Linked DNA regions of Xenopus tropicalis. The protein of the gene in region 1 purifies or fractionates together with the protein of each later gene. This does not show direct contact. Links are inferred from orthologs where the notes say so. Each region holds a gene or a part of one and is shown in the gene's direction. Other genes may lie near its edges. The genes, in order: nrbp1, tsc22d1 and tsc22d2.

Region 1 (3,647 bases):
TGAGAGAGAGGCAGGGGTAGCGATGTGGGGGGATTGGGGTGAGAGAGAGGCAGGGGTAGCGAGGTGGGGGGATTGGGGTGAGAGAGAGGCAGGGGTAGCGAGGTGGGGGGATTGGGGTGAGAGAGAGGCAGGGGTAGCGAGGTGGGGGATTGGGGTGAGAGAGAGGCAGGGGTAGCGAGGTGGGGGGATTGGGGTGAGAGAGAGGCAGGGGTAGCGAGGTGGGGGGATTGGGGTGAGAGAGAGGCAGGGGTAGCGAGGTGGGGGGATTGTCTTTGTCTTTTTTTTACATTATCTCGCATTTTCATGTGTATATCGGCTACATGTACTGCACCCGAGTGTATCTCATGCATTTGGGTGCAGGCACTTACCAAAAATATCCGCCCTATGCCTCGTGTGGCATTAGCCTAATGTCTCTGGGGGGGGGGGGGGGGAGGCATTGTGCTGAGCTGTGCCTTTAATCTCTGCCCTTTCCTCCCCCAGGTGCTGTTCCTTTAATTTTCTGAATATTCACACAAAGGGCAATGTCAGAAGGTGAAGGCAAAACTGCCCCCAGCACAGGCTCAGACCCCAAGATGGAGAGTGGGGTTTCCATGTCACCGCCTGTTAGTGCCCCCCCTGCACCACCACAGGAGGAGGAAGAGGAGGAGAGTGAAGATGAGTCTGAGATCCTAGAGGAGTCTCCTTGCGGGCGCTGGCAGAAGAGACGTGAGGAGGTGAGTCCTGGGGCAGGGGGGCATGGTGTGCCACAGGGGGCGCTGGCAGAAGAGACGTGAGGAGGTGAGTCCTGGGGCAGGGGGGCATGGTGTGCCACAGGGGGCGCTGGCAGAAGAGACGTGAGGAGGTGAGTCCTGGGGCAGGGGGGCATGGTGTGCCACAGGGGGCGCTGGCAGAAGAGACGTGAGGAGGTGAGTCCTGGGGCAGGGGGGCATGGTGTGCCACAGGGGTGCTGTTTGCTTGGCGCTGGCAGAAGAGACGTGAGGAGGTGAGTCCTGGGGCAGGGGGGCATGGTGTGCCACAGGGGGCGCTGGCAGAAGAGACGTGAGGAGGTGAGTCCTGGGGCAGGGGGACATCTGGTTTGGATAAATGGGGCGCGCTTCCCCCTTAATGTGAAAAAAGTCTTAATTAATAATTAATAGTTCTACTGTACATAAATACACTTACTGGGGAGCCAGCGCCCCCCCAATAGTTCTACTGTACATAAATACACTTACTGGGGAGCCAGCGCCCCCCCCAATAGTTCTACTGTACATAAATACACTTACTGGGGAGCCAGCGCCCCCAATAGTTCTACTGTACATAAATACACTTACTGGGGAGCCAGCGCCCCCCCAATAGTTCTACTGTACATAAATACACTTACTGGGGAGCCAGCGCCCCCCCAATAGTTCTACTGTACATAAATACACTTACTGGGGAGCCAGCGCCCCCCCAATAGTTCTACTGTACATAAATACACTCACTGGGGAGCCAGCGCCCCCCCCAATAGTTCTACTGTACATAAATACACTTACTGGGGAGCCAGCACCCCCCCCAATAGTTCTACTGTACATAAATACACTTACTGGGGAGCCAGCACCCCCCCAATAGTTCTACTGTACATAAATACACTTACTGGGGAGCCAGCACCCCCCCCAATAGTTCTACTGTACATAAATACACTTACTGGGGAGCCAGCGCCCCCCCCCCAATAGTTCAACTGTACATAAATACACTTACTGGGGAGCCAGCACCCCCCCCAATAGTTCTACTGTACATAAATACACTTACTGGGGAGCCAGCACCCCCCCCAATAGTTCTACTGTACATAAATACACTTACTGGGGAGCCAGCGCCCCCCCCAATAGTTCTACTGTACATAAATACACTTACTGGGGAGCCAGCGCCCCCCCCCAATAGTTCTACTGTACATAAATACACTTACTGGGGAGCCAGCGCCCCCCCAATAGTTCTACTGTACATAAATACACTTACTGGGAGCCAGCACCCCCCAATAGTTCTACTGTACATAAATACACTTACTGGGGAGCCAGCGCCCCCCCCCAATAGTTCTACTGTACATAAATACACTTACTGGGGAGCCAGCGCCCCCCCCAATAGTTCTACTGTACATAAATACACTTACTGGGGAGCCAGCGCCCCCCAATAGTTCTACTGTACATAAATACACTTACTGGGGAGCCAGCGCCCCCCCAATCGTTCTACTGTACATAAATACACTTACTGGGGAGCCAGCGCCCCCCCCAATAGTTCTACTGTACATAAATACACTTACTGGGGAGCCAGCGCCCCCCCAATAGTTCTACTGTACATAAATACACTTACTGGGGAGCCAGCGCCCCCCCCAATAGTTCTACTGTACATAAATACACTTACTGGGGAGCCAGCGCCCCCCCCAATAGTTCTACTGTACATAAATACACTTACTGGGGAGCCAGCGCCCCCCCCAATAGTTCTACTGTACATAAATACACTTACTGGGGAGCTAGCGCCCCCCCCAATCGTTCTACTGTACATAAATACACTTACTGGGGAGCCAGCGCCCCCCCCAATCGTTCTACTGTACATAAATACACTCACTGGGGAGCCAGCGCCCCCCCAATAGTTCTACTGTACATAAATACACTCACTGGGGAGCCAGCGCCCCCCCAATAGTTCTACTGTACATAAATACACTTACTGGGGAGCCAGCGCCCCCCCAATAGTTCTACTGTACATAAATACACTCACTGGGGAGCCAGCGCCCCCCAATAGTTCTACTGTACATAAATACACTCACTGGGGAGCCAGCGCCCCCCCCAATAGTTCTACTGTACATAAATACACTTACTGGGGAGCCAGCGCCCCCCAATAGTTCTACTGTACATAAATACACTCACTGGGGAGCCAGCGCCCCCCCAATAGTTCTACTGTACATAAATACACTTACTGGGGAGCCAGCGCCCCCCCAATAGTTCTACTGTACATAAATACACTTACTGGGGAGCCAGCGCCCCCCAATAGTTCTACTGTACATAAATACACTTACTGGGGAGCCAGCGCCCCCCCAATAGTTCTACTGTACATAAATACACTCACTGGGGAGCCAGCGCCCCCCCAATAGTTCTGCTGTACATAAATACACTTACTGGGGAGCCAGCGCCCCCCCCAATAGTTCTACTGTACATAAATACACTTACTGGGGAGCCAGCGCCCCCCAATAGTTCTACTGTACATAAATACACTTACTGGGGAGACAGCGCCCCCCAATAGTTCTGCTGTACATAAATACACTTATTGTGTGTATATAGATATATAAGATTATAGGGAATGGGGCATGGGGTTGGGCTGTGTGTGTGTATATCACTGTGTGTGTGTATATAGATATATAAGATTATGAGGCATGGGGTTGGGCTGTGTGTGTGTATATCACTGTGTGTGTGTATATAGATATATAAGATTATGAGGCATGGGGTTGGGCTGTGTGTGTGTATATCACTGTGTGTGTACAGTGGCTTGCAAAACTATTTGGCCCTCTTGAACTTTTCCACATTTTGTCACATTACAGCCACAAACATGAATCAATTTTATTGGAATTCCACGTGAAAGACCAATACAAAGTGGGGTACACAGGAGAGACCAATACAAAGTGGGGCGTGCGTAATTATTCA
Region 2 (4,389 bases), on another chromosome or scaffold:
CCCCACCACATGCATACCACAAATGTCACTTCAGAGGACAGAGGACTTCAGTTACAGAGCAAGAACTAAGAAAACTGCACCCTTCTCAAGAAAATATTTCAGCTATTAGCAGCTTTTTTGAAGTCCGGGGGCACTACCAAGGTCAAATAAATGAATCTAACACCAGGCAGAGCCATGTGTAACACTTAGGAAAGAAAGAACTGAGGCACGGAAGCCCACCAGGGACACAACAGGTGCAAGAGGAAAGCTTCTCCTGACAGGACTACCTGCCCAGCCACATTTTCTTTCTATGACTACTCGACTCCATTGGCAGACAATGCGGCCACGTGGCTAGGGCACAGCACAATAGCTTCCCAGCCACATGCACTCAGCCGGTCCCACATACACACTGGACACGTCTTCCCCAGTCCTGCATTAACGTCACCACTGCCGAAACCCTCGCCCTACACTCCTCGGAACCTTCCGCCACCAATCGTACAGCCTACTGCGTCATCACCAGGCCCCGCCCCCATTCTCCCCTCCCCACTTGCCCAGTTGCTCAGTTCTTTTTTATCAGCGTTCCACAAAGTAGCAGGCGCGCATGCGCGGCGGCCATTTTCCCATACTTCCTCCCGTCAATGCAGTTCTCCGCCCCTTTGACAAGCTGCCTGCCCGGCTCCCAGCAGCTGTCCTCCAATGCCGTGTGAGATTAAAGAGGAGGAGGGAGGGACAGGCGCTGTGTAACAGGGAGCCTGAGCCGAGAGGCACTGCTAGAGAAAAGAAAGGCAGAGTCACGGGGGGAAAGAGACACTAAGAGGGGAGCTTATTAACAGCCGGTCGCTCCCAGCTACTGCTTCGGCTTCCACTCGCCCCCCTTTTCCGTGCCGGAAGGGTGATTTTGGAGTAGCCGAACTGAAAGCAGCCGTTGCCAGCTAGCGCATCCCTATACGGCTAGCGTTCGGCCCCTGCTATACGGATTGGGCCGCTGCCGGGCCCCGGGCACGATGCCTGCTGAAGGCTGTCAGTGATGGCCTCTTCTTTTGCCGCTCAGCTTGTTGCCGACGTTTCCAGATCTTTGACCGGACGCACTACCGACAACGAACAAGATAACCGCGGCTGTCCTGTCATCTGCCGTACCCGGCGCCCGGATCCTGGGAAACTATTTGTGCTGCCACTGCCCCCTGAGGATTGATATGGAGGAGTGTCATTAAAGGGAAGGCGTTTGATCATTGTGATTAAGAGCGGAGTGGGAGGCGGCCGGGGAAGTGGCACCGCATTACATGTATCTGGCTAGTGCGCAGAGGAGTGGGTGACGTCCATCTGCCCGTGTGTGTCTCTATAACATACATAGATACATATAGAGCGAACAGGGCTGCAGCTGTTTGATCTCAGCAGGAGAGCCCCGATCCCCCTTAGTGAGGGAGGCACATCTTGCACGTTTGGAGGAGTGGATGTGGGTGGGCTAAGGGGTTAGAGGAGGGGAATTAAAATGCACCAGCCTGATCCAGCCGCAGATCTTGCTGCCAGGAAGATGGCGCACCCGGCAGATCTGCCCAGAAGGGGTAGTGGGACTGGTGGCAGCTCGGCTGCGCTGCATGGAGCAGTAGGGCCAGGGCTCGCCGGCCACGTCCTGTCTTCAGATGATTACCCTCCTCTGTTGGTGCAGCCTCCGCCTCCCGCCGCAGCTTCATCTCCTGGACCCCAGCAGCATCCTCCCCAAACACTGAATTTACTGCCCCAGCCACTTGTGCAGAGCGGCGCCCAGATCAAGAAGAAAAGCGGCTTTCAGATCACCAGTGTAACTTCTGCTCAAATCTCAGCCAGCATGAGCTCCAACAATAGCATTGCTGAAGATACCGAGAGCTATGACGATCTGGATGAGTCTCACACCGAGGATTTGTCATCTTCTGAAATATTGGATGTGTCTTTATCTAGAGCCACAGACCTTGGGGGTCCAGAAAGAAGTTCATCAGAAGAGACTTTGAATAACTTCCAGGAAGCTGAGACACCTGGTGCTGTCTCTCCTAACCAACCACACCTCCCCCAGCATCATCTGCCACAGAATGTACAGCAGAATATCATGATTAATGGAAGTATACATCATCACCACCTTCATCACCATGGACATAGCCATCCTTCCCAACATGGATTACCCAATGCAGCCATTCCCGGAGGGTTACCCCCAACTCCTGCTTCAGTGAAACTGCCTGCACAAGGCAGTTCTGATAGTGCTGTTACAGCAGTGCCTGTTGCTGCTCCTTCTGTTTCTCATCAGCCTGCTGGATCTATACCACCAATTGCAGGTAAAACAAGTGGACCTGTAAGTACTGGCATTACTCCTGCTTCAGGTAATACTAGTGCACCAACTAATGCAAATATTTCAAGTCTGAGTGGTGTAACAGGTTCTTTGCCTAGTGGTGTAAATATAAATCAAAGTTCTGTCACAAGTACAAGTAATGTAGGCACTTTACCTGGCAGCCTTAATCTGCAGTCACAAGGCACTACTGGTAATGGTAGCAGTGCTACTTCTGGTATCATGAACAATGTTTCTGGTGCTGCTGCTGCGTCAGCAATTGGACAGAATGCAGCACAACATCAGGCGGTTGCTTCAGGTGCAGCAACATCTAGATTTAGAGTTGTAAAATTAGACTCTAGTTCTGAACCTTTTAAAAAAGGCAGATGGACGTGTATGGAATTTTATGACAAAGATAATGTAGCAGCTGCAACAGAAGGAGCTGCAATCAACAAAGCCGTAGAGAGCATTAAACAAAACCCACTTGAAGTAATGTCTGAAAGAGAGAGCACTAGTGGAAGCTCAGTTAGTAGCAACATCAGCACTTTGAGCCATTATACGGAAAGTGTTGGTAGTGGAGAAATGGGGACGCCTTCCGTACAGCAGCCAGGATTTCAAGGTCTAGGTCCTCCGCAGATGGACTTGAGTAACGCAATAGCTCAGACTATTCCTGCCCCCAGTATGCCACAGAGTATTTCCCAGCCCCAGCTTGCTCAGTTACAGATGCATTCACAAGATGCCAACTTTTCTCCTCAGAAACTAGCAGGGCAGCCTGCTCAAGCTCCATTGAATGCTTCTGCTGGTGTCCAGCCAGCATCAGTTAATATACTTGGTGTGCCATCCTCTTTGGGACATCAGCAGCCAAGTGTTTCTACTTTGATCCCACAACAATTGCCATACACTCAACAGACTCAGCCCATACAAAGTCTCCCAGCTGTTCCACAACAGTTACAATACACGCATCAACAGACTGCCTCTGCCCAGATGACCTCTGGACATGTACCAGTAAATCAAAGTTCTGTTCCAGGGAATTTGCCGGAATACATTCAGCATCCACAAATAATACAAACAGCCATTCCCCCAATGCAAACCAGTTCTACAGTTGTTAATACTGCAGCTGTCCCTGTTGCCCAAACACATGCCATGCAAACCCAGATTCAGTCTTCAACAGCACAAGCTCCAGCAGCAGTTGCTCAAACTCAGCCTGTGGCACACCCCCCGGCATCAATTGCAGCAACAGGTCAGATGTTAGGTGTTAATCCACAAGGTAACCTTCCTGCTACAGTGCATCAAGCAGCTACCCCTCAAGTTGCAACATCTATAATACAACAGAGTGTTCCAGCTCCTTCTTCCCAGGTATTGCCTCCACCACAAGGAATACAGGTTGGTCCTCCTGGAATTCCTCAACAAGTCATTATTGCACCTCAGAGTACACTGCTTCCTGCAAAGCCTCAAAGTCAGCTTATTGACCCTCCTGTACAAGGCATGTCAAACCAACAGGTACCTGCTGTAAGTCCTCTGCTAGCTGCAGCTAGTGTTCCGACTGTTCAGCAACTAAGTACAAGTATACCTTCCGCTTTACCTCCAACGGCAACAACTTTGGGTCCACCACCAACAGTTTCACAAGCTTCAGCAGCGCAAAATGGGAATTTGGGTCAAAGTAGTAACCAAGCACCTGTGATCGCAAATTTACCAGTTGCTCAAAGCTTACCACTACAGTTGACACAGAGTTCAGGCCAGTTTGTTGCACCATCTCTTATTCAGTCTGTGGCAAGCCAGATAGAAGATGCCAGACGTATAATGGAGCATTCAGTAGCTGGCATATCCACTGTTGGCGAAGGAGCTTCTTCAGAAGGTAGCGGTGGTCTTCCAGTCTCTGGGTCCTTGCTTCCACTGAAATCTCTTCCTCTATCAACACCTCTTGTTGATGGTGAAGATGAAAGGTAAGTTGAAATAGAAAGTTAAAAGGTTTGGGTTGTTATCACTTTGAGTCAGCAAAGCCCATATAGCTTTCCAGAGATTGCTTAAGAAATAATATATATTTGGTATTCAAATTCCAAGCTTTAGATAGAATTTGGTTTATTGTTCTATGCCATTTTTAATTTGTGCCCTATAAT
Region 3 (4,341 bases), about 44 Mb from region 1:
CATACATGGGACGATTCTGCCCTTAGACCGATTTGGCAGCTTATCAGCCCGTGTAGGGGCACTAACGACAGGCCTGCCCAACCGATATCTGGCCTGAAATCGGGCAGATATCGATTGGGCAGGCTAAAAAAATTAGTCGGATCAGGGACAGCATTGGCTCGATGATGTGGTCCCGGAACCAACTGCGCCTATTGCAGTCGTTACAATTTGATTATTTGGCCCCAGAGGGACCTTGCCAAGCGAGCAGATCTTAACATGTATCGCCATCTTAAAACAGGACACAGAGACCTACGGTAATTCAAGGAAGGCACTCTGCCTTCCCATTTGAAATGGCCACACAGGCAAGTGGCCAAACTGAGTGTCAGTAAGGGTGGTTCACCTTTAAGTTAACTTTTAGTATGCTATAGAATATTCTATTCCTAAAATCTTTGCAATTTGTTTTAATTGTTCATTTTTCATAGTTATTGAATAATTTGCCTTCCTCTGCTACACCTTTCCAGCTTTCAGATTGGGGGGGGGGGGCACTGACTCTGGCAGCCAAAAAACTCTATATAGCCACAATTTCATTTTTAATGTTTCATTACTTGACTTTTTTTCCAGGCCTTTTCCTATTCATATCCAAGTCTCTTATTCAAACCAATGTCTGGTTGCTATGGTAAATAAGACCCTAGCAACCAGACAGCTGCTAAAATTTAAAACGGACAGCTGCTGAACCAAAAAGCTACACAACTGAAAAATCACAATTAAGAAAAACAAAGATCTGTTGTAAATGTCCTCAGAATATCCATGTCACACTAGACATTAATGTGAAAGGTGATCTACTTCTAGTCTTTACATGTGAATTCCAATGGAAGGCAAACTGATATTTTGTCTCCCCAGTAGCGCCACAGAATCACTTCCAGTAAGACACTATCTGCATAGGTTTATACATTCTATTCATGGGTTTCCTCCACCACAATGCCACCTGGTACCAAAGTAACAGGCAGACAGGGAATTCTTTATCTGCTCAGCAAACAGACAAAAAATATATTCTTTCTCACCCTTTTCAATTAAAAAAAATGTTTGTTACACTGGAAAAAACATATTGAAGATACCACATGTGATATAAGAAAAAAACAACAGAAGAAAGCTAACTTCTTTTCACACAAGCTATTTTAGACAGTAAGCTGCTGACTTGCGCCAGCATAGCGATTAACCCAATTCCCTACCCAGCAGTTCCTATACTGCCCGGTAACCAGTCAGCAGCGTTTGAATCCCACTACTGCGGATGCGCACATTTTCCCAGACAAGCAGCCCTGACTGCGCATTTACTCAAAGACAAAGGTAGAGACTCAGCCCAGGAATGTGCCACCCGCTTTCCCTGCCCGCTTCCCCCTTAATTTCTAGTTATGGTTTCTCCCTTCCAACACTAGAACATACCCGCCCATTCTCTGCGGACCGCCTTTTATCCGCCCCTACTTGTGTCTAGAGCGCAGAACCAAAAGCAAAGGGGGCGTGTTGTGGCCTCTTGGTGCCGCCTTTTGCTTGCTGTCTCCTCACAGTGCCCACTATTGCCATCTTGGAAGGGCAGGGAGGGGAGTGAGCGGTTTGAATTTCAGAGTGTGCAGAGCTGCTGAGGGAGGTGAAAGGAGGCGGAGGTGACAGAGCAAGGGGAGGGGCGGCCTACCCCGCCGTCACTAACAGACATTTCTCTCTTGTACTTTCCACCCTCTTTACGGGTTTTCACTTCCTCTGTCCCGTGTATGTAGGGAGGGTCTGTGTGAGAGAGTTTCCCCCAGCTCAGAGACAGCTCCATATCCGCCTTCTCCACAGCACCAGTCTGCCGCTCGACATGACACCCACTCAAGAGAGCAGGTAGGGGAGAGAGGGGGTCTATTCCCCAACCCCGAGCTTTGGGCTTGATCTGGAGCCGGCAGCGCCATCTGTGACAGCGGCCTGTATCTTCCCTGAAGTGTGCTGCTGCGAAAGGGGGCCGGGCCTCTACAGCACTTTCCGCGGAGATCGGGGTTCCGGCTACGGGCCTACAGGCTTTACTCCTGAAGCGATCGGGAATCGTGGGAGAGCTCAGGATGTCCGTGTTACGCTAGAGCCGTACATTTGCTTACAGGAAGTGGATCTGGGCCCGAACCCTTACACCTAAGCACGGTAACCGAGGGATATTACCGAAGCCCCCTTAAGGGAGGAGGATCTGGAATCCGGATTGCCTTCCCTTCGCACCCCCTCCACTAGTGGATTGGTCTTGCTTCTACGATGTCAAAGATGCCAGCCAAGAAAAAGAGCTGCTTCCAGATCACAAGTGTCATCACGGCCCAGTCGGCCAGCAGCATCACGGAGGAAACGGAGAGTCTGGATGACCCGGACGAATCGCGGACCGAGGATGTGTCTTCGGAGATTTTCGATGTCTCCCGGGCTACAGACTACGGGCCGGAAGATGTTGTGGAGCGGAGCTCGTCCGAGGAGACCCTCAGCAATGTCGGCGAGTCAGAGACGCCAGGCGCCGTGTCGCCCAATGTGCCGCAGGATGGTATTGGGGTCATTGGCACTAATGGGGGCACCATGAGCAGAGGGAGCGGGCAAGGAGCTACATTAGGTCTGACAAACCAACTTTCTAGTGGAACTGCTACTCAGATCACTCCTGCTGCGACTGCTACGCCCACCGCCTCTAGTGTTCCCCTAGTATCTTCTCAGTCGGCAGCGACAAGCAGCACCACCACCACCACCACTTGCAGCTCTCGCTTCAGGGTGATCAAACTTGACCATGGCTCAGGGGAGCCGTACAGGAGAGGCCGATGGACATGTACAGAATTTTATGACAGGGACTCTGATGCCACCTTAATCACTAGGACTGGGGATGCAATCAGGCACACAAGCACATTTGATCACTCTGCGGACAGGGACAGTGGATTGGGGGCCACAGGGGGTTCTGTTGTGGCCTCTGCTGTGCATGGTGGCCACGGTTCAGAATCTGCAGTTGACAGTTCCCTTTGTGCTGTGTCACAGTTGCTTCAGAATGAGAAAATGAACCAACCCTCTCAGCAGCAACAGTTTCTAATTGGGCAGCAGGCGGTAGGTGGAATGGTGTCTCAAGGTACTGCCCAACAGATGTACCCTGGTGCTGTTACAAGTCAGCAGATGATAGTGCAGCAGAGCCAGTCACATACAGCTGCACAAAGTGCAACGAATGGCAAAGGAACCAGTTCTCGTAATGTACATACAGTCCAGTCAACAATATCTTTAACTCAGCAGCAACCCAGTGTTTCTGTTAGTCAGCCTCAAGCGTTCACTTACTCCCAGGTGCAGTCTGGACACATGATGTCCCCTCAGCCAGCTGGTCAGACGGAATATGTCCAACATATAACAGTTATACAATCCCAAGGAACAACTCAGAAACCCACCACATCTCTCAATGCAAGTACTGTTGCTCAGTCAAGTCTTCCAGGCCAACACCTGCAAGCAGGTGGAACACAACTAATAGGTCTTCTTCCCAAAACTAGTGACTCAGTGAGCCAGGGATCAGGATTGATACAGAGCGGTCAGGCAACCCAGAGCCAGCCAGTTCATGTCCAGCACCCAGGAAGTGGGGCACAACCATCTGTGCCATCTATTGGAATAGTGCAGCAGAAGTCTATAAATCAGCAAGTGAGTGGGAGTAGTAATGTTTCAGGCATTCCAGGGGGACACCTTACCATGGCTCCGGGAATACAGAACGTGCCTGCAACTGGTACAGGTGTTACTGGAGTACCAAGTACGGTGCCAAGTGTGTCTGCCACTCCTGTTACTATGCCAATTGCTCCTGCTGCTTTTGTGCAGTCTCCACTGAGCAGCCATACATCTGTCAGTAGAAGTAATAGCCTGATCCCAACAGTTGGGCTTCCAACAATGCAAGGCACATCAAATGTACACACAAGTTTGCCACAGTCAAATATTAATCAATTTCAGACTCAGAGCCAGTCACTGGTTGGCCAAATAGATGACAGAAGAAAGTCTGAACCTCTACCTCAGCCACCAATGTCTCTTATTTCTGAGAAGCCTTTTGTGAAAGTCCCCATCACAGACACCTTAACAAACCCTCTATTACCCGTTTTTGGTTTACCAGTTGATGGTGATGAAGACAGGTATGCTAACATTTCACATTTGATTAAGTGCTGTTAATACATATATCTCCAGGAACTTGCATTTGATTTTTAGAAGCATCTGAATCATACCAAAATATTTTTGTTGTATGTTAAAGAAAAGTGGAGTTACACAATTTGGCTTTTAACGTTAAAACAAATGCAGTGTTATTTCACAACCGTTCAGTAATACATCTCCAGTTCCACCATAATAAACTCAGAAGGCAAT

What was found.
Region 2: the proteins of nrbp1 (region 1) and tsc22d1 purify together in Homo sapiens (affinity purification with mass spectrometry; 6 studies listed by BioGRID and IntAct, with this or other methods). This does not show direct contact. The link is inferred for Xenopus tropicalis from reciprocal best matches to the Homo sapiens genes NRBP1 and TSC22D1.
Region 3: the proteins of nrbp1 (region 1) and tsc22d2 purify together in Homo sapiens (affinity purification with mass spectrometry; 5 studies listed by BioGRID and IntAct, with this or other methods). This does not show direct contact. The link is inferred for Xenopus tropicalis from reciprocal best matches to the Homo sapiens genes NRBP1 and TSC22D2.

The regions. Positions count from the first base shown.
Region 1 is NC_030681.2:162,085,083-162,088,729, forward strand, and holds part of nrbp1 (nuclear receptor-binding protein), read left to right. Parts: intron 1-480; 5' UTR 481-521; coding exon 522-713; intron 714-973; exon of another isoform or gene 974-1,004; coding exon of another isoform or gene 1,005-1,046; intron 1,047-3,647. UniProt on the Homo sapiens protein: Required for embryonic development. Plays a role in intestinal epithelial cell fate and proliferation, thereby involved in the architectural development of the intestine potentially via the regulation of Wnt-responsive genes.
Region 2 is NC_030678.2:133,681,641-133,686,029, reverse strand, and holds the start of tsc22d1 (TSC22 domain family protein 1), read left to right. Parts: upstream 1-1,454; 5' UTR 1,455-1,468; coding exon 1,469-4,215; intron 4,216-4,389. UniProt on the Homo sapiens protein: Transcriptional repressor. Acts on the C-type natriuretic peptide (CNP) promoter. Acts to promote CASP3-mediated apoptosis.
Region 3 is NC_030681.2:118,455,542-118,459,882, reverse strand, and holds the start of tsc22d2 (TSC22 domain family protein 2), read left to right. Parts: upstream 1-1,440; 5' UTR 1,441-2,250; coding exon 2,251-4,115; intron 4,116-4,341. UniProt on the Homo sapiens protein: Reduces the level of nuclear PKM isoform M2 which results in repression of cyclin CCND1 transcription and reduced cell growth.